2 linked regions of the Saccharomyces cerevisiae S288C genome follow. The main gene of each other region encodes a partner of the protein of the gene in region 2 in a complex. Each region holds a gene or a part of one and is shown on either strand. Other genes may lie near its edges. The genes, in order: HSM3 and RPT1. A codon is read from its position in the direction of its gene.

The links.
Region 1: the proteins of RPT1 (region 2) and HSM3 are in contact, whole or in part, in a crystal structure (PDB 4A3V), measured with the Saccharomyces cerevisiae proteins. Residues at the interface, in NP_012777.1 of Saccharomyces cerevisiae: Asp381 (codon at 1,106), Leu382 (codon at 1,103), Glu383 (codon at 1,100), Ala386 (codon at 1,091), Arg390 (codon at 1,079), Arg403 (codon at 1,040), Glu405 (codon at 1,034), Leu406 (codon at 1,031), Ile407 (codon at 1,028), Arg409 (codon at 1,022), Leu410 (codon at 1,019), Glu440 (codon at 929), Lys441 (codon at 926), Leu444 (codon at 917), Lys445 (codon at 914), Asp448 (codon at 905), Lys449 (codon at 902), Ser452 (codon at 893), Gly453 (codon at 890), Tyr454 (codon at 887); in NP_009831.3 of Saccharomyces cerevisiae: Asp150 (codon at 5,442), Lys151 (codon at 5,445), Ile153 (codon at 5,451), Thr154 (codon at 5,454), Glu157 (codon at 5,463), Thr190 (codon at 5,562), Val191 (codon at 5,565), Val194 (codon at 5,574), Arg195 (codon at 5,577), Asp198 (codon at 5,586), Asp230 (codon at 5,682), Ile231 (codon at 5,685), Leu232 (codon at 5,688), Ile235 (codon at 5,697), Glu236 (codon at 5,700), Asn239 (codon at 5,709), Asp279 (codon at 5,829), Phe283 (codon at 5,841), Ser284 (codon at 5,844), Thr285 (codon at 5,847), Asn286 (codon at 5,850), Cys287 (codon at 5,853), Leu289 (codon at 5,859), Gln290 (codon at 5,862), Glu325 (codon at 5,967), Glu328 (codon at 5,976), Leu329 (codon at 5,979).

What each region holds. Positions count from the first base shown.
Region 1 is NC_001134.8:742,359-752,797, reverse strand, and holds HSM3 (Hsm3p), read left to right. Parts: upstream 1-4,994; coding exon 4,995-6,437; downstream 6,438-10,439. Other genes in the region: DNA-binding protein RIF1, read left to right, coding at 1-1,442; serine/threonine protein kinase CHK1, read right to left, coding at 1,621-3,204; UBX7 (Ubx7p), read left to right, coding at 3,427-4,737; EFM2 (S-adenosylmethionine-dependent methyltransferase), read right to left, coding at 6,687-7,946; BIT2 (Bit2p), read left to right, coding at 8,400-10,037; SDH8 (Sdh8p), read left to right, coding at 10,222-10,439. UniProt on the Saccharomyces cerevisiae protein: Involved in DNA mismatch repair in slow-growing cells. Acts as a chaperone during the assembly of the 26S proteasome, specifically of the base subcomplex of the 19S regulatory complex (RC).
Region 2 is NC_001143.9:165,752-176,458, reverse strand, and holds RPT1 (proteasome regulatory particle base subunit RPT1), read right to left. Parts: upstream 2,247-10,707; coding exon 843-2,246; downstream 1-842. Other genes in the region: DNA-directed RNA polymerase III subunit RPC25, read left to right, coding at 1-616; AVT3 (Avt3p), read right to left, coding at 2,598-4,676; succinate dehydrogenase flavoprotein subunit SDH1, read left to right, coding at 5,330-7,252; DBR1 (RNA lariat debranching enzyme), read left to right, coding at 7,630-8,847; MCR1 (cytochrome-b5 reductase), read right to left, coding at 9,007-9,915; NNR2 (NADHX dehydratase), read left to right, coding at 10,529-10,707. UniProt on the Saccharomyces cerevisiae protein: The 26S proteasome is involved in the ATP-dependent degradation of ubiquitinated proteins. The regulatory (or ATPase) complex confers ATP dependency and substrate specificity to the 26S complex.

The sequences.
Region 1 (10,439 bases), on a different chromosome or scaffold from region 2:
CGGTAACAAATAGATCTATCAAAACGAATCCTGATCATAACGTTGTTAACAGTGATAATCCTCTAAAACGACCTTCCAAAGAGACGCCTACCTCTGAAAATAAAAGATCGAAAGGTCATGAAACGATGGTGGACGTTTTAGTTTCTGAGGAACAAGCGGTGTCGCCTAGCAGTGACGTTATATGTACTAACATCAAGAGTATAGCCAACGAAGAATCTTCGTTAGCTTTAAGGAATAGCATAAAAGTGGAAACAAACTGTAATGAAAATTCCTTGAATGTCACTTTAGATCTTGACCAGCAAACCATAACAAAGGAAGATGGAAAAGGGCAAGTTGAACATGTTCAAAGACAGGAGAACCAGGAAAGTATGAATAAAATCAACAGTAAAAGTTTTACGCAAGACAATATTGCACAGTACAAGAGCGTGAAGAAAGCCCGTCCTAATAATGAGGGTGAAAACAACGATTATGCTTGTAATGTTGAACAAGCCTCTCCAGTAAGGAATGAGGTGCCAGGAGACGGCATTCAGATCCCGAGTGGGACTATACTTCTCAATAGTTCAAAGCAGACAGAAAAATCAAAAGTTGATGACTTGCGTAGTGATGAAGATGAACATGGAACGGTTGCGCAAGAGAAACATCAAGTGGGTGCAATAAACAGTAGAAACAAAAATAATGACAGGATGGACAGCACACCCATTCAAGGCACTGAAGAAGAATCTAGGGAAGTTGTTATGACCGAAGAAGGTATCAATGTACGCTTAGAAGATAGTGGAACATGCGAACTTAATAAAAATTTGAAGGGACCGCTTAAAGGAGATAAGGATGCCAATATTAATGACGATTTTGTACCTGTTGAAGAAAATGTCAGAGATGAGGGCTTTTTAAAATCAATGGAACATGCGGTATCTAAAGAGACAGGTCTAGAAGAACAACCCGAAGTTGCTGATATTTCAGTGTTACCAGAAATTCGTATACCCATTTTCAATTCTTTGAAAATGCAAGGGTCAAAGAGCCAAATAAAAGAGAAATTGAAAAAGAGATTGCAAAGGAATGAGTTAATGCCACCAGATTCACCTCCTCGAATGACAGAAAATACAAATATCAACGCGCAGAATGGCTTAGACACCGTACCAAAAACAATTGGTGGAAAAGAAAAACACCATGAAATTCAATTAGGCCAAGCCCACACAGAAGCAGATGGCGAACCTTTGTTGGGGGGAGATGGTAACGAAGATGCTACATCTAGGGAAGCCACACCTTCATTAAAAGTGCACTTTTTTTCAAAAAAGTCGAGAAGGTTAGTGGCCAGATTGAGAGGGTTCACACCGGGCGACTTGAACGGAATATCTGTGGAAGAAAGAAGAAACTTGAGAATTGAATTATTAGATTTTATGATGAGGCTCGAATATTACTCAAACAGGGATAATGATATGAATTGATTGTTAGTATGTAGAATAGATCAAAATGGCAATAAATTAATTACAATAATAAAATCTCTCGAAACAATATATAGTTACGATGACACACTAGAAATCGAGAGAGATATATAATAAGTAGAAAGAATTTTTTTTTTTTTTTGATCAGTGCATCTTAACCCTTCTTTTGTCTCCATTTTTTTCAGTTGGGAATTAGGATAATATCCCTACAGATAGTTGAAATTTTCTTGAACAATCTTCTCCATTCTAAAGGATCACCAGTTTTTCTTTCAAATCCGACACTTTTCAACTCTTCTTCAATCTTTATGATGGAAATGCTACCGCATAATTGATAACCCCCATTACTTTTGGTTTTAATATTTATAATAAGTGGGAAAACGTTATCATAACCCAATAATTCGCACAATCTTTCAAAATTCGCAAAAAGGTCGGGTTTTACTCTAATTTGTGATAAATTCAAGGCTTTCTCCAAAATCGGTAACAAAACATCCATAGGTTGCAACGTGTAGAACTTGGTAAGTTTATTCGGATTAAATTGTAAATGTCGTTTTACTAATTCATTACAATCATTTTCATCAGAATGAAACTGTAAGGCAGCGATATCATAGCTTATGAATTGCGTCCACTTAGCCTCTTGTGTCATACCTGTTCCGCTATTATAGTTCGTATTTGAATCATACGAGGTAAATGCACGTTGTGTATTCGAAACTGTCTGGAAATGCATTGAGTCGTGTTCAAGCTCAGCCAATTCGTTACCAATTGGCTGAGTAGAAATGTACCTATTATTAGAGTTTGTATCTTGAGTGAATTTCAAATAATTTTCGTTACTCAGTGAGACTTTTAAGTGAGAAAACAGTTTCTTAGCCAAGAGTTCAGGGTCATTACAGAGACCATCATCCCCAGAAAATGAAGCTCGACGTAATACCCAAGGATGTAACTTTAAAGCCTTCAATGTCACCCTCTTATTTGGGTCAGGTTGTAAAATTTTTCGGAGTAGGTTCAAGTGAGTAAATTCTATCTTTGACCAGGGTCCCCAGTTTAAATTTCCATCATTTTCAATAAAAAAGACGAAATCTTCGTTCTCTAATGAAGGTAATTCCCAAGGCGTTTGACCAGTCAACAATACGAACAAGAGGATGCCAATAGACCATATATCTGTTCGATCTGCGTAATAACCCTCTTCAGAATATAATACTTCAGGAGCCATGTAGGGTGGAGAACCCCTTTGATCCATGGATACACGTAATGTACCATCTTTCCTCCTAAATTGAGAGGCGAGCCCAAAATCAGCTAGCTTCAGATTTCCGTTCTTATCGAGTAAGATGTTTTCAGGCTTGATGTCTCTGTGAGCAACTCCACATTCTACATGCAGATAATTAATAGCACTAACGAGCTGTTGAAAGTAAAATTGGGCCACGTCGGAATCAACTCCAACGTCAGGCTCAATCTTATCAAATAGATCACCACCATCTGCCATCTCCAGAATTATCCACATATATTCTTTAGAGACATTACAATCGATAAGTCTCAAAACATTAGGATGCTTAGAACACTTCGATTGCAAAACAACCTCTTTTGTGATATCCTTGTCACTGAGTCCCATTTTTTTGCAAGTGGGAACATGAATGAATTTAACAGCTAGAATAATGGAGGGATCCATTTGAAGATGAGCATTTTTAACGCAGGCGAATGCGCCTTGGCCTACTGTATCTCCTAAAACAACATCCTTGATATGGGGTAAAGGTGACACCTGCGAGAGACTCATAGTAATACGTGCTGCCCATATACAGCAACTTATGATATACTCTTATGTTTGAAGCTGTAGTTGTTTTTATTTGCCATTCAATTATTAAAATGACATTTAAAGCCGCTCTTTATTAACTTCGGCAGGCCTCGTAGTAATGTTGAAAATTTAAAAGGGAGCTGGGTTGAGGTTGAAAGCACTTACAAAGAAGCAAGGATAGCTAAACCAAACAGCCGTAACCAAATGTTAGAAGCACTGTTTAGAGATTCTGTGGAAGAAGCAATAAACGATTCCATCAAGGAAGGCGTTGTGCTGGCCGTTTACAACACTGCACGGGATGACCAGTGGCTGAAAAGTTGGTTTAAAGGAGATGATGTCTCATTAGATACTTTAGCGGAACATAGTATTTGGTTGAGGTTGGTCAAAGACACTGAGCAGTTCCAGTTATTTGAGCAAGTATTTCCTAATGTAGTTGTACCCAGTATATACTTGATACGTGCTGGAAAGATAGAATTGATTATTCAAGGCGAGGATGACCGACATTGGGAGAAGTTGCTGGCGTGCATAGGCATCAAAGACAAAAAGGCTGGTGAGAGTTCGTCCAGGGAAACCAATCCAGGTTTGGCTAGAGAAGAAAAGTCATCCAGAGACGTCCATAGGAAAAATGCAAGAGAACGGATTGCTGAGACTACCTTAGAGATCCAACGTCGTGAACAACTGAAACAAAGAAAGCTGGCTGAGGAGGAAAGAGAAAGAATTATAAGACTTGTTAGGGCAGACCGTGCAGAAAGAAAAGCTCTTGATGAAACTCATCACAGAACCCTTGATGATGATAAGCCATTGGATGTTCATGATTACATAAAAGACGCACAAAAACTGCACAGCAGCAAATGCGTCTTGCAAATCAGGATGACTGATGGCAAGACTCTAAAACATGAGTTCAACTCGTCTGAAACATTAAATGACGTTAGAAAATGGGTGGACGTCAACAGGACAGATGGAGACTGCCCGTACTCATTCCACAGGGGCATTCCCAGAGTGACATTTAAGGATTCTGATGAATTGAAGACGCTAGAGACACTAGAACTAACTCCAAGGTCTGCATTATTACTTAAACCACTAGAAACTCAAAACTCGGGGCTATCTGTGACTGGGATGGAGGGACCAAGCCTTTTGGGCCGTCTTTATAAGGGATTCTCTACGTGGTGGCACAACGATAAAGATCCTGAAGTAACATCACAACGTGAGGAAACATCGAAGCCGAATCGTCACGAAGTGAGGTCTTCAACACCTTTATCTGGAGCTGCTTCGTCAAGCTGTTTCCAATACAACAATGTTCGGGAACCAGTTCAATCATCTGCTCATGCATCACCAATGCTGACACCTAGCGGAACCAGGTACCCATCGGAAACCAACCTTACTACGTCACGTTCTGTCTCGCCAAATGTTTTCCAATTTGTTAACAACGATCATCAAGAAGATCCTGAAGACCCAACAACCTTTAATGGTAATAATGTCCATTTAGAAAAGAAAAAGGACGAAGATAAAAAATAAGTAGTTAATGGCTTCAACTCCATTTATGACTAGTATTAGACGTGAATTTTTTTTGATTAGATTACATAAAAAAATATACAGTAATTTTATTTACATGGATTTTTGTTATAGCTGGTATTTTTATATCTTTTTTTCTGTTTCAAATGCATATAGAAAAATTGAAGAGTAAGTTTATATAAACACCTTAATTACGGGATTAAAAATAAAACAAGTTTACAACTATAATCACCGCAAAAGAACTCAGCGAAACAGGAGCAATGAGTGAGAAAGAAACAAATTACGTGGAAAATCTCCTTACGCAATTAGAAAATGAACTTAATGAAGATAACTTGCCTGAAGATATCAACACACTATTAAGGAAATGTTCTTTGAATCTTGTGACTGTTGTCTCCCTTCCAGATATGGATGTTAAACCACTACTGGCTACGATCAAGCGTTTTCTGACGTCTAACGTATCCTATGATTCATTGAATTACGATTACCTTTTGGACGTTGTGGACAAGCTTGTTCCCATGGCTGATTTTGACGATGTTCTAGAAGTTTATAGCGCGGAGGACTTAGTGAAGGCCCTTAGGTCAGAAATAGATCCATTAAAAGTAGCAGCATGTAGAGTCATTGAGAATTCGCAGCCAAAGGGTTTATTCGCGACCAGTAATATCATCGATATTCTATTGGATATTCTATTTGATGAGAAAGTGGAGAATGATAAGCTCATTACAGCAATCGAAAAAGCGTTGGAAAGGTTGAGTACAGATGAATTGATTAGGCGTCGATTATTTGATAATAATTTGCCATACCTGGTGAGCGTAAAGGGTAGAATGGAAACGGTTTCTTTTGTCAGATTAATTGACTTCTTGACTATTGAGTTTCAATTCATCAGCGGTCCTGAGTTCAAGGATATCATATTTTGCTTTACTAAAGAAGAGATACTGAAATCCGTTGAAGATATCCTCGTTTTCATCGAATTGGTTAATTATTATACTAAGTTTTTGCTGGAAATACGAAATCAAGATAAATACTGGGCTTTAAGACATGTAAAAAAAATACTGCCAGTATTTGCTCAACTTTTTGAAGACACGGAGAACTATCCTGATGTCAGGGCCTTTTCTACAAATTGTCTTTTACAGTTATTCGCAGAGGTGTCACGAATTGAGGAAGATGAATATTCTTTATTCAAGACTATGGACAAAGATTCTTTAAAAATTGGGTCCGAAGCAAAATTAATAACCGAGTGGTTGGAATTAATTAATCCGCAGTACTTGGTAAAATATCATAAAGATGTGGTCGAAAACTATTTTCACGTCAGTGGCTACAGCATTGGAATGTTGAGAAATCTTTCAGCAGATGAAGAATGTTTCAATGCTATAAGAAACAAGTTTAGTGCTGAGATTGTCTTAAGACTACCGTACTTAGAACAAATGCAAGTAGTAGAAACCTTGACGAGATACGAATACACTTCAAAATTTCTGCTCAATGAGATGCCAAAGGTGATGGGCAGCTTGATAGGTGATGGGAGCGCAGGTGCTATTATAGATCTTGAGACTGTGCATTATAGGAATTCTGCCTTGAGAAATTTACTGGACAAAGGTGAAGAAAAGTTAAGTGTATGGTATGAACCTTTATTGCGAGAATACTCCAAAGCAGTTAACGGAAAAAATTATTCCACAGGCAGTGAAACTAAGATTGCAGATTGCAGATGATTATGTTGCATAAGCGCAACTATAAAGGCGGCCTTGATTGTTTAATGTACTACCAGTATTGATTCCTGTCTGAATCAAAAACTAACCTTTTGGCGAGGTGGCCCATTCAGTTTTCTTCTCCATAAATTGTATAAATCAGTATGTAAGGTCTGGCAAGTACTTATAATTCACATTTCAATGTCTATGTAGCATGCATGATTTTTATTATAAAGAAAAACTATTCGCCTAAGCGCGTTCGTTTCTTTCCCACTAATTGCGAACGATTTGCCTATATAAATACTTAACGGCACCCCAATCATCCACACCCTCTGAATGCCGTTCTTCAACTACTTTTAAATCACTCTCTTTTAGTAATAATTTCAAAACCTCTCGTTCTTTGGCGTATTTTGCCCTTAAAGGTATTTCTAGGTGACAGGTCCCTGATGCCGCCAAAAACTTCGATATCATGTTAACTACCCATTCCGGATGCTGAGGCGAATATATCGGGTCGGCGATCAATATGACGTCAAATTCATTTTCATGTCCAAATTTATCTATAAAATCGTGAGGATTAGTCCAATCTAATATCTCTGCTTGAACGAAATCTCCTAAATTATTTAATGACACATTTTTCTTCAAATTCGTCACAATCTCGGGTAAATCCGTCACGAAGATTTCTATATTTTCAGTTCCATAAAGTTCTTTCCATTTTAAGGCCCATGAAAGTCCTACTAAACCAGTGCCCGCTCCTAATTCTAATACTTTAATCTGTTTGATGTCGCTGTTCGCTAACATGTTCACATTAGTGGTATGTAGGTAATCCAGGTGATCTACGACTAATTGTGAAAGTATTAAAGATGATCCCCATGTTTTCCAACCAAGATTATCGGCCGTTAAAGAGGGTTCATGAAGCGGTATGGAAGTGCTTAGATTTCTTAATTCAAAATATCTTACTATGGATGGTTGGGCCGTTCTCCCACAGTTTTCGGATATCCTTGAGCTCAATTCCTTAAGAAGTTCTTGTATGATTTCCTCATTCAATCCGCAACTATTATTGTATTTTTTCAATACACTAGTATAGTAGCCCAACAGTAGTTCTTTGGATACTGTAAATCTCAGCATTGGGATTTTATTGCATATCTTTTCCAACGAGTTTAACCTCTTGTTAGGCCATTCTTCTGTATACCAAGTCAAAAGTCTTTTCAGCAGATCGGGTTCCAGCCCATGACTCTTGCAAACCTCCAGTACAGATTTGTTCTTCCCTGTCTCCTGATTGAAGTTTACTTGTCTATCGGGCTTCAGAAGTATTAGTATACAAAGGATAACTTCTGGCGGAGCATACTTCACGGAGGGCAGATCCAGATTATCGATAATGGTGTCATCGTCGTCACTCTCTTCTTCATCTACAGCCGTTAATATTTCGTCACGTTGCGGTGAGCAAGGATCTTTTGGCTCTCTCTCTGCTAGATTGAACTGTAAAGCCTCAACCTGGATGTCATCAGGGGTGTACAAATCGAGAGGATCAAACATAGTGAAATATCCGCTATGGAACTCCTAACTTGCATGAGTTAGATACTTGAAAAGTAATATACAGATTGCACTACTATTATTTTGTAGCTCATCGCGAAATTGAAGAAAAAATTTACGATTGGAAAAAAAAAAACTACTATCAGAAATAGGTGAACCAATTTTAATGCCTGGATAGAGCTGCATACGCTACTAGCTTAAACCAATATTGGTGTCGCCTGTTTTCCTTTACCCAATCCAATATACCACTATACTGCGAATGAAGGTGTTGAAATAATTTGACAAGAGCACTTTATCCATTTTGCATGCGACCTTTACTAGCAATTTTTCAGCGATCTTTGCGGGCTTTAAAATAAGGTCAAAATTAAAGGGAGAAAGATAGAAGACAGTAAATAAAAAATACAAACCACAATAAGCATAAGTGGCTAGGCGAGTCTTAAACTACAGAGTCAAGCAATGGCAACAGACCTAAATCGTAAAAGAAGTGCTACCTCAGGCTCACTGAGCGTCACGAACCCGAACATAAAAGCAACTAATCGCAAACCAGCTAGAGTTTATAGTGTTTCTTCTGATATAGTACCGCAAGCGCTGACACATCCCGACGAAGATGTGCATCTAAAAACATCCAAATCTCCTCATGATGCCGCTCCTAGATGGTCACAGGTGGGGTTTCAATCTATATTCCATGATGGTTCCAATGCAAGGCGCTCGACGGATTCGATTGAAGAGGAGTACAGCCAAGGCACGGAGAATAACGATGGTCACTCCGAAATAGGTTCATCAAGTAGTAACCGAATGGAGGGGAACACCACGTCTAATGATAGTTTATTTTCTTCCAACTCAAGGGGCAATAAAAGGCGACTGTCCATCTTCACCAATTCAAAAGATAATATGAGAAATCGAAGCAGGAGCGGGTCAAAAAACTACGGCACTGTTATTACCGGCACAAGTAGTAACAACATAAGTAGGAGTGGCTCTAAATTGTTTCATACGAAATCTAATATGAGTGTGAACAGTTTACAATCTTCACTGTCTACAGGACATTCTCATTCAAACAAAGGCAGTAATGTCTTTAGCAAAATGGCAAAAAAGCTTTTACCCTACAAGCCGCATAATTCCATTGGTAAAGACGACGTTGAACCCGTAGTTCCCAGCCCATTCAGTAAATTTCTGCATTCTTCATATGGTAAACATAGGTCACCCGTACAGTTTATCCATACTTCTACTGGAGGCCTTATTGACTCTGGAAAATCTGTATATTCCTTTAACCCTAGCATTAACAACAACCCTAATGATACAGCTCTATCGCTGATCCAAGATGATGCTTTCGACGCGACTAATGTTTCTTTACTACATGATTTACTGAAAAACTTGCCATCCTTGATAGCAAACTATAAAAGCTTCACCGTACAGGAGTTATTTGTTCTGGAGGGGAATATCTGGGGTATATACTGCAGCATAGTTGTGGAGCTATTTAAAAACAAGAGGGTATGGCAATTGCCAGCAAAAATAGAAGATATTGACCGGCTGCTGGAATTTTATATCACTTTGAAAACACAAACCAAGGCTGCCGTAACGCACTCAAGGTTTTTGGCCGAAATCGAGGAATTCATTACCACTTCACTTTACATTTTAGAGAACCAGATTGTGTTCAATTATGCCAATGAGGATACCGTAAATACGGCTTTGAAAAGAGTCGGCATAATCTGGAAGGTGTTTTACCAACAGGTTTACTACGACATGATGGCAGTGTTACTGCCCTTCGAGAAAAGCTTCCAAAAAAATAGTAACTACTGGCTTGACGGATATCTATCTGAACCTTCAAGGTACGCACCGTCAATTGATGTCCTTTTATTAAAGTGTTTTAGAGACTCCATCATTCTTCCGTATTACGAAAGCTTCCTACATACAAATGACGGTGCCAGTAAGAGTTTTCAAAGATATATTTTCAGCGAGGAAGAACAGAACGGCGTCACAGAGGAAGATAAACTGACGCTGCTGCAGTGTTTTGGGATCCTGAATACCATAAAAGGTAACAGCAGAAACCAAAGAATTATTGGTGAACTTCTTGAGGGCATACGCATGAGTATATAATTAAATATTTTATTTAGTAATATACAATAGTGGCATATAGATAGGTGTATTTCCTTTTTCTTGTTCCAAGAATCCGGAAAAACAGATGCTCTTTTCCGCCCTATAAAGGGGCCAATGGGGAAAGTGCAGATCATATTAACTTGCTAAAGAGTCAGAAAGAACCAAATAATAAAAAGAAGAACTAATGTTGTGCGCCATCAAAAGCACAGGTTATCGGTATCCTCGCACGGGAGCCTTAAATCTACTACGTGGACGACCATTTAATATGGCCACCCGAAAAATAACTACTGAAAGGATCCCCGGCCCTCCCAAGCTGCCAAGAGAAGAGCAGGAAGAGTTCGAAAGACTTCAGAGGATTGCCACATCGCAAGAGGCAATAGATCAGTATAATGCGCAGGCCAC
Region 2 (10,707 bases):
TGACTTGGTACGAATCCCGCCCGATCAATTCCATCGCGATACAATATCGGCAATCACACATCAGTTAAATAATAAGTTCGCCAACAAGATTATTCCCAATGTCGGTCTATGTATTACGATTTACGACTTATTAACCGTCGAGGAAGGCCAATTGAAGCCAGGCGATGGATCATCCTATATTAACGTTACATTTCGAGCCGTTGTTTTCAAACCGTTTCTAGGTGAGATAGTAACTGGATGGATTTCTAAATGTACAGCAGAAGGCATAAAAGTTTCACTGTTAGGTATATTTGATGACATTTTTATCCCACAAAATATGTTATTCGAAGGGTGCTATTATACCCCTGAAGAAAGTGCATGGATTTGGCCCATGGATGAAGAGACGAAACTATATTTCGATGTAAATGAAAAAATTAGATTCAGAATCGAAAGAGAAGTTTTTGTTGATGTGAAGCCAAAATCACCCAAAGAACGAGAATTGGAGGAAAGAGCTCAATTAGAGAATGAGATTGAGGGTAAGAATGAAGAAACTCCTCAAAACGAAAAACCTCCAGCATATGCCCTATTAGGTAGTTGTCAAACTGATGGCATGGGACTCGTTAGTTGGTGGGAATGATAGATAAGGACGCCACTGACTTCAATAAAACATTTAATAATAATAGTAACAGTAATAATGAGGATAATAATATATAATAAACGTGAATTTTCTTTAGCATTATATACGCTAATTCTTTCTCTATTTGAGGGGATACTCTCGTATCCTTTTTATCTCGATAGTTGTAGTTGTACTTGTTGTTTTTATTAACCCTTCTCATAATATATAATAAAAAAGTACATTGACGTCAATTATATTGCATATAACGCGATGTGGAACTAAACTTCTTGTATCCGCTAATAACTTTATCAACAGCCTTCAGGAAATCCTTTTCAGTAGCCACCTTTCTTCTTGCTCTAATGGCAAACATACCGGCTTCTGTGCAAACAGATCTTAATTCTGCACCGGTAGAGTTTGGACACAGTCTGGAGATAAGTTCCCATCTGATGCCACGTTCCACACTCATTGATTTAGAGTGAATACGGAAGATATTTGCACGACCTTCCAAGTCAGGTAATGAAAACTCTACCTTACGATCAATTCTACCGGGTCTCAATAAAGCTGGATCTAAAGTGTTGGGCCTATTGGTGGCAAACATCACTTTAATGTTACCACGAGGGTCAAACCCGTCTAACTGTGTAATCAGTTCTAACATAGTTCTTTGAACTTCATTATCACCACCAGCACCATCATCAAAACGAGCACCACCAACAGCGTCGATTTCATCGAAGAATATAATGCAAGCCTTTTTGGTACGAGCCATTTCAAATAATTCTCTAACCATACGAGCACCTTCACCGACATATTTTTGCACTAGCTCAGACCCAATGACCCTAATAAAAGTTGCATCAGTTCTATTAGCAACAGCACGAGCACATAATGTCTTACCAGTACCAGGTGGCCCATATAATAAGATACCCTTTGGTGGATCAATACCAAGAGTAGCAAATCTTTCTGGAGATAATAAGGGCAGCTCGACAACTTCTCTCAGCTTTTCAATTTGGTCTTTACAGCCACCGACATCGCTATAAGTAACGTCAGGCTTTTCTTCAACGGTCATCATAGTAACTGATGGGTCAATCCTTGGAGGCAATGGAAGTTCAATATTATATTTCGACCTATCGACACCTACACGCATACCTTCTTCTATATCTGTTGGAGAAACACGTTCACCTAATCCGACGACAAATTTGGCAATTTGCTTAAGATTTATCACGTACTTGGCATCTTCATCGTCTTCGTCTGCATCAGTAGACTGTTGATTGCTATTACTATTGCTATTGCCGCTGTTATTATTATCTGTCGTAGTTTCGTCACTTTCACCATTCCCCTTAATGATCTTCGTGCAACGAGCGACTTGTAAGGGATGTTCTTCGCCCAGTCTCTGCCTATCACCCATAATATCCCATAGATGGGAGGGTGCTAACCCTGTATCGCTTTCTTTCACACCGGCCTTTTCTTTGATTCTCGCTTCAATGTCTTTTAAGTCATTCTCAGTTTGCTTTAATTTGGCTGCGTATGGAGCTGCACCGTATGATTTTAAGACTTGAATGTCACCTTCTGTTAAGGGTACGATCTTGTCATCATCAGGTTTTTTATCATCGTCTTCCAAAGGTGCCTTGTATTTTTCCCAGTCTTCTTTTGGTGGCATTCCGTATAGTTCCTAACTTCCTTGATTTATTACGATGGTTCAAAAAAATATCTCAATTGAATATTGCTTTGAATTCTCATCTCCTTGGAAAATACTGTATATACCCAGTTCTTTGTATAGTAAGCTGCATGCTAGTTTAGTTTTCGGGTGGCAAAATTCGGTAATCCTATTCACTATACCTTTTCCTCTCGTCCGGGTAAACTCAGCCATACCAAATTGACAAGGATAGTACATTTATGCTAATCATAATTAAAACAAGGTATGTGTGTTCCAGATGCATATAGATAACGAGTCATATATAAATATATATATATGTGTCTGTACATGATGTACTCGGTCAAAAATGGCGGATTACTGGCTCCACATTTTAATCGTCTGCCATGACGTGTAGGCCATGACAGCAACTCCAAATACTATGACGATTAAATCTAAAAGAAGCCTGGCTCTCGAGGTTCCAGATAAGATGGACGCCTTATAGTGCAACAATGGCGGGTATATGTAGATCAATGGGATACACGCGAAGGAGCCTACCAGTGATACAAATTTGTCCAAATCGTTGGCGCCTACCCAAGCGAGGATAGATGTCAGGACGACAATAGCGCAACGGAAATAGTTTTTCAACCATTTGACTTTCGGGTTGTATTTACCAGATGCATTTGAGGGAAAAGTCCAGTTTTCCAAAATACGTATCGCGGGAAATAGCTGCAACGGCGTGGATAACAAAATGGCTAATGCATACAGTAATTGAACAGTGAGAGTATAGGAAGTGTCCTGCGGAAAATTCAATAAAACAACAGTTTTCACGTCAGATCCAAAAGCGGCATAGCATAAGAGACCACATGATATGAAAATCACTGCCACGATACACATCACCGCGGACAACGATGGCCGGAAATGCTTCGGGTGTTTCATTGACTCCTGAATGGGGATAAGTAGGCCTATACCTTCAAAGGTGAATATGGCGGTACCGATGAACAACGACCAGTCCGCTTTATTGAACATAAGCATTGTATCGGATGCGACACCATTAACAGCAATATAATAAATGGAGTAAACGTAAACATAAACCAATCCCAGTAGAATAAATAGATCTGCTATTAACGCGGTCCCACTTAACTTGGCTATGTTTCTTGTCAAAGATAGTGGGACAAAGATGAGTACTTGTGCAAAGATATAGGTGGCTAGACTGATGCTGCCCGGTTTCAAATGGAAGAAATTTTCAGAAAAGACCTGCAAATTAGTTGCAGTGAAAACAGTGTATGCAGCAGAAAACCCGATTTGTGACAAGGCGATAGACGAAAGAATGGCAAATTTCATTTTGGGCCCATATAGTATACGACCCATGTCACCGTACCCATCTACGCCTACTTTGTCCTTGGTGGTAATCAATGATACGAAACATCCATAAGAAATGAGGGCACACGAGAGTAGACAAAGGGCGCTAAATCCCCAACCACCGTTATGGAAAGCCTTTGGTAGGAAAAGCACACCTGTCCCAACAAATGACTTTAACAAGAGCAGCACCGCCTTTACCGTAGATGATTTGTGAGGATGGCGCCCGTGTTCACGAGAAACTAGCTGGGTGCTTTCCGTTTCCAAAGCTTCCTCCTCTGGCTCCTCTTCAGTTTCTTCCTCCTCCTCCTCTTCTTCCGATAAATCTTCACCAGCGAAGTGGCCATACAAGGTCAAAAATTCAATAAAGTTCCTGGTGAAAAAATTCGGTATGGGCGCATCAACGTTATGTTTCCTGCGCTTCTGTATTATAAAAGATCTTCTGAATCCACCAGGAGCCCTGATTTCTTCGTGCGTCATCGGTGCGGGCGCCAGGCCTATTGCCGCTAGAGGATTCCCATTCGCCTCCGAGTTGTTGTTAAGGTGAGAGGAAGATGCTATAGAAGCGGCAGAAAAGCTCATAGACCTTTTACGATTCGAGAATGAGGGCGCTTGTGAAGGTATTGAGGTGGAAAGTGCAGGTTGACTTGGGTACTGATACTGCGATGGTGATGAAGGATGGTCGTTTGTCCACTTATACAGATCTCTTGTAATGTCTCCGCCTTGCAATTGTAGGCTGTTACTCGGGTTTCTTATCAAGTGGCGTGCCACGGCATCTACCACATGTGGCTCAGGGTTATTTATGCTCACTTCAAGCGTGCCATTGTTACAGGAAGTGTGCGACGCGTCGGGTACGCTAGCATGCACCGCTTCATTGTTCACAAGCAGCGGCGGCTTTTTTAGCAAACCACCTGTAGTTCCACTAGATTTTCTACTTCTGCTTCTACTTCTACTATTACCGTTGCTATTGCCACCGTTGCCGTCCGTTAAAGGTGAGCCAGACGCATGCGAGATTCCTGTACTGCCTCCGTTGTTATTTTTTTTGTTGTTGTTGCTCTGCGTTCTTCCAGAGCCACTTGAAACCTCTTTTCCATTCATATCCGCGATGCAATCCCTTATACGCTTCTTAATAAACTTTGCTTCCCACTCTTTCACTACTGACCATCGATCCTTCTTATTTCATAGCCTCACGAGCACAAATGATAATACGAGAAAAAGGCCCGACCGGGTAACCAACCCTTTTACTATCTCTCGCTCTACCTTTAGTAATAATGTCGTCTATATAAGGATTTACTCATACAGTAGTCCAAAATATACCTTTCCGTGCTAAAAGTAGCTCCCAAAAGTAGCGGAGGTGAGGATCATCCTCTATTGCCAGGTACCAAGCTCGCTGGAAAGTCGTTATGGAGTCACGGCTTTGAGGGCGGGGGTGGACCAATCACAGCGCAGAACGCGGCGCCGAGCAAGCGCTGGACCAAGGGATCCGGGCCTCTTCTATTGGTTGTTTGTTTGCTCAAACCCGTTATATATTCAGGCATCCTCGACTCTAACCTTTTGCCACGTCGAGGCGGCTTGAAGCTTAAATAGCACTAATAAACTAGTAGACACATTATAACTAACCAGTAGTATACTTTGCACTTTCGATATTCTTTTCACTAATCTCCTCCCCAACCCCTTATTGAAGATAAAAAGAAAGAAAGAAAGAAAGAAAAAAATCCAATTTCATAGTACGAAGAAGAACGAGAATAAAGATGCTATCGCTAAAAAAATCAGCGCTCTCCAAGTTGACTTTGCTCAGAAACACAAGAACATTTACATCGTCAGCTTTGGTGCGCCAAACGCAGGGCTCTGTAAACGGTTCCGCGTCCAGATCTGCAGACGGGAAGTACCACATAATAGATCACGAGTATGACTGTGTGGTAATCGGTGCCGGTGGTGCCGGCCTTAGAGCGGCCTTTGGTCTTGCCGAGGCGGGCTACAAGACTGCTTGTATATCCAAGCTTTTCCCCACCAGATCCCACACTGTTGCTGCTCAGGGTGGTATCAATGCCGCTCTGGGAAATATGCACAAGGATAACTGGAAATGGCATATGTACGATACTGTGAAAGGATCTGATTGGCTAGGTGACCAGGACTCCATCCATTACATGACCAGGGAAGCGCCCAAATCGATCATTGAACTGGAACACTATGGTGTTCCTTTTTCAAGAACTGAAAACGGTAAGATCTACCAAAGAGCCTTTGGTGGTCAGACCAAGGAGTACGGTAAGGGTGCTCAGGCCTATAGAACATGCGCTGTCGCAGACAGGACAGGACATGCTCTTTTACACACGCTTTATGGCCAAGCTTTAAGACATGACACACATTTCTTTATTGAGTACTTTGCCCTCGATCTGTTGACCCATAATGGCGAGGTCGTTGGTGTCATCGCTTATAATCAGGAAGACGGTACCATCCACAGATTCAGAGCACACAAGACCATTATTGCCACTGGTGGCTATGGTAGAGCATACTTCTCTTGTACCTCTGCTCACACATGTACGGGTGACGGTAATGCCATGGTTTCGCGTGCTGGTTTCCCCTTGCAAGATTTAGAGTTTGTTCAATTCCATCCTTCAGGTATATATGGGTCTGGTTGCTTAATCACTGAAGGTGCTCGTGGTGAAGGTGGTTTTTTGGTTAATTCTGAAGGTGAAAGATTCATGGAACGTTACGCTCCTACGGCCAAGGATCTAGCTTGTAGAGATGTCGTTTCCAGAGCAATCACCATGGAGATCAGAGAAGGCAGAGGTGTTGGTAAGAAAAAGGACCACATGTACTTACAATTGAGCCATCTACCTCCGGAAGTTCTAAAGGAAAGATTGCCAGGTATCTCTGAAACAGCAGCCATTTTTGCTGGTGTAGACGTCACCAAGGAACCTATTCCCATTATTCCTACCGTCCACTATAACATGGGTGGTATTCCCACGAAGTGGAATGGTGAGGCATTAACCATTGATGAAGAAACTGGCGAAGACAAGGTTATTCCCGGTTTAATGGCTTGTGGTGAAGCCGCTTGTGTTTCTGTCCATGGTGCCAATAGATTAGGTGCCAATTCCTTGTTGGATCTTGTTGTCTTTGGTCGTGCTGTTGCCCATACGGTTGCTGACACTTTACAGCCTGGGTTGCCACACAAACCACTACCTTCTGATTTGGGTAAAGAATCCATCGCAAACTTGGATAAACTAAGAAATGCTAATGGTTCAAGATCTACGGCAGAAATTAGAATGAATATGAAACAAACTATGCAAAAGGATGTTTCCGTCTTTAGAACACAATCATCTTTAGATGAAGGTGTTCGGAACATTACTGCAGTAGAGAAGACCTTTGATGATGTGAAGACGACCGATAGATCAATGATCTGGAATTCTGACTTGGTTGAAACTCTGGAGCTACAGAACTTATTAACCTGTGCCTCCCAAACAGCTGTTTCCGCTGCTAATAGAAAGGAATCCCGTGGTGCTCATGCAAGAGAGGATTATCCAAATAGAGATGACGAACATTGGATGAAGCATACATTATCCTGGCAAAAGGACGTCGCTGCCCCAGTGACTTTGAAATACAGAAGGGTTATCGATCACACTTTGGACGAAAAGGAATGTCCTTCCGTACCTCCAACTGTAAGAGCCTACTAATTTGAACCTCATTGTATTTTACGGAAAAGAATATCATACTCTTCTTTAATTGCACTTTTTTTGTGCGTTTGCACTTTTTTACCACTGACTCACTAATTTGTATATATACCTATTAATATACATTTACATAAAGTTTCTTCTTATACATACTCTATTTATTTAGTTATTTATTAACTTACTATTTATTTATTTATTTATTTATTTATTTATTACTTTCAATTTTTTATCGAGGCATTTCCTTAGTTCTCCAATTTTTTTTCTCATTAGCCAGATGTGTGTTTTTCTGGCCCTCACAAAAAATGAGCAGGAGAAAGTCATATGGCGAACGTAAATATGTAACTAAAAATTAAGATGGGCAGACATTTATCATTTTGCTTATGACTAAATTGCGAATTGCTGTACAAGGGTGCTGTCATGGTCAGCTAAACCAAATTTATAAAGAAGTGTCACGAATCCATGCGAAGACTCCCATCGATCTATTAATTATTCTTGGAGATTTTCAAAGTATTCGTGATGGTCAGGATTTTAAGTCAATAGCCATACCACCAAAATATCAAAGACTCGGTGATTTCATATCATACTACAATAATGAGATTGAAGCCCCAGTCCCTACTATTTTTATTGGCGGTAATCATGAATCGATGAGACATTTAATGCTTCTGCCACATGGTGGTTATGTAGCAAAGAACATTTTTTATATGGGATACTCTAACGTTATATGGTTTAAAGGCATAAGGATAGGTTCATTGAGCGGGATATGGAAAGAGTGGGATTTCAATAAGCAACGACCAGATTGGAATGACCTAGAAAATAACAATTGGAAAGCTAACATAAGAAATCTGTATCATGTAAGAATTTCTGATATTGCTCCTCTTTTTATGATCAAGCATCGTATTGATATTATGCTGAGCCACGATTGGCCCAATGGAGTCGTTTATCATGGCGATACTAAGCACTTGTTGAAGCTTAAGCCTTTTTTTGAGCAAGATATTAAAGAGGGAAAACTAGGCAGCCCAGTGACCTGGCAACTACTAAGAGATTTGCGGCCTCAATGGTGGTTGAGCGCCCATTTGCATGTCAGGTTCATGGCCTCCATTAAGCATAATAAAAGAAGCCACGAACCGCCTAATAAGTCAACTTCAAAGACAAAAAAAAACAATAATGAAATAGATTTGGATTTATCCAGTGACGAGGACGAAAGGTCTGGTATTATGAATTGCCAAGAAGAGAATGAGTATGATTCCAAATACGGCGAGACACGGTTCTTGGCGTTGGACAAGTGCCTGCCAAGAAGACGTTGGTTAGAAATTCTGGAAATAGAACCGGATACATCGCATGCTTCGTGGAAGGACGAGAATCACCGTATGTTCTGGGATCCTGAATTTATCAATAATTTGGTAATTTGTCAAAAAAATAAGAATCTCCTAAGCAATAAACCGTTTAATAGCGTCAATTGGATAGAACTGTCTCAATCTAATAGAGAGGAAGGAAGGGATATTGATTGGGAAAATTATGCCATTCCTGCATACACCTTAGATATTCAGAAAGATGAAGTACGACAAACTAAAGCATTTATCTCTAAATTCATGACTTGAGAGATATTTCTATTACGAATGCAGACGGAATTAGAGCTTAAAGCCAAGCCTTCTTGAGAGAATTTTTAGTCATACACATGAATATATATATATTTTTTATATATTTACTAATTTGAACGATCCGAAATTAAAAAAAATATCAATTACTTTCCTCCATGCTTAAAATTTGAAAACTTGGTCCTTGGAGTAGCCCAAATTGTTCAAGATACCGATCAATTCACCTTGGTCCTTAGGTGACTTCTTCTCACCTGAGTAAGCGTTCATAAATGGTGGGGGACCGCAGACAAACAAATGTGTGCTTTCCTTTGGACCTGGAACATGCTCCTGAATAAAATCTTTGGAGATGAAACTAATTTCACCATCAAAGTCTTGGTCATCTTGCTTGTCGTCAACAAAGTAAGTAACATTGAACTTGTCAGGATACTTTTCCTTCAACGCATCCAGTTCCTTCCTTAGTAAAATGTCCTGAGGAGTCTTGTTCCCATATAGCAAGTTAACTTTGGTCTTGTCGTTTGGGTTTTCAACTATATGATGAGCTAATTGGTACAGAGGGTTGATACCGGTACCGGCACCTAACAAGGTGATTGACTTGAACTGATTAGGTTGCCACTTCCATTTCATAATAGGACCCTTGAAAGAAACGGTGTCATTTGGTTTAAGACCAAATAAATGTGAGGTCATTTTACCACCTTCATAATGCTTGACGACCAGCTGGAAGTGACCCTTCTGGGAAAGATCACTCACAGGAGTGTATGGTCTCACCACATTGGATCCCTTTGGTGTGACAAATTTAGCAAACAGAGCAGATGCTAGGACCAACCCCATTTCTGAGTCTTCGGTAGGCAGCTTAAAAGTAAACCTTCTGGTGTCGTGGGATTCCTCCTCTATTTTAGATATTGGCAAGTCGATCCATTTGTCATCACCTTTGAACACTTTATTAGATTCATTGAAGACAAAGGAATGTTGGTTACGGTTTGCAAAATAGAATGCGGTAGCAGCTGCTATAGCAACTGTACCTAGAGCAATCGGTAATGCTTTTGAGTGAGATCTGGATAATCTGGAAAACATGTTTTTGACTTGGAATATTATTTTAACCTATATACGTTATACTATTGTTAGTTTGGCTGCTTCAAAACGTTAGTATTGAGGGAAAAGGTAAGAGTACTTAACACAAGCGGGCATTGCGAGCAAACTGCATTCTTATATACGTACCTCTCTCGACAAGACACCAATCAAGGGCCCTTATTTCTCTTCTTTTTTCAAACGGAGAAACACTCCGAGCGATAGTTCCTACGCTTGTTTGGTCTTAGACCTTTGAAGTTTGAATTGTCAGGGGTAACAAGTTCCTTATACGATATAGGCGTCATAATGAGGGGGATAGTTTAGCATTGCGTGGAGGGATACTGAAGGTCATCGCAAATGAACCTAATTCATTCACCTATTGTTACCAGCTTGCATACTAGAAATGGACTCTTATGATCGTCAAAAGGAGCACACACCCACACACGACTCCTTTGCGCTGTAAAGGGCAGAATAGGGAGTGATGTGATGTGATGCGATGTGATGGGTCTTGCAACGTGATCTAGTAGATATATATGTAAAGGTGTAAATAGGTATATAGGCGTCGGTGAAATTTTATTAGCAACACCAGTTCAATACGATCACTACCGTATCACTGGAAATGTTAGCAGAATTGTCTCATAGAGAATTGATAAAGTTGGCGCAGAAAAGATGTATACCACCTTTATTGCCAAAGTTTCATAAGGGACAGTCTGGTGGGAGAGTTTGCATTATTGGAGGATGCGAAGATTATACAGGGGCACCGTATTTCAGCGCCAATGCTACAGCCTTGATGGGCTG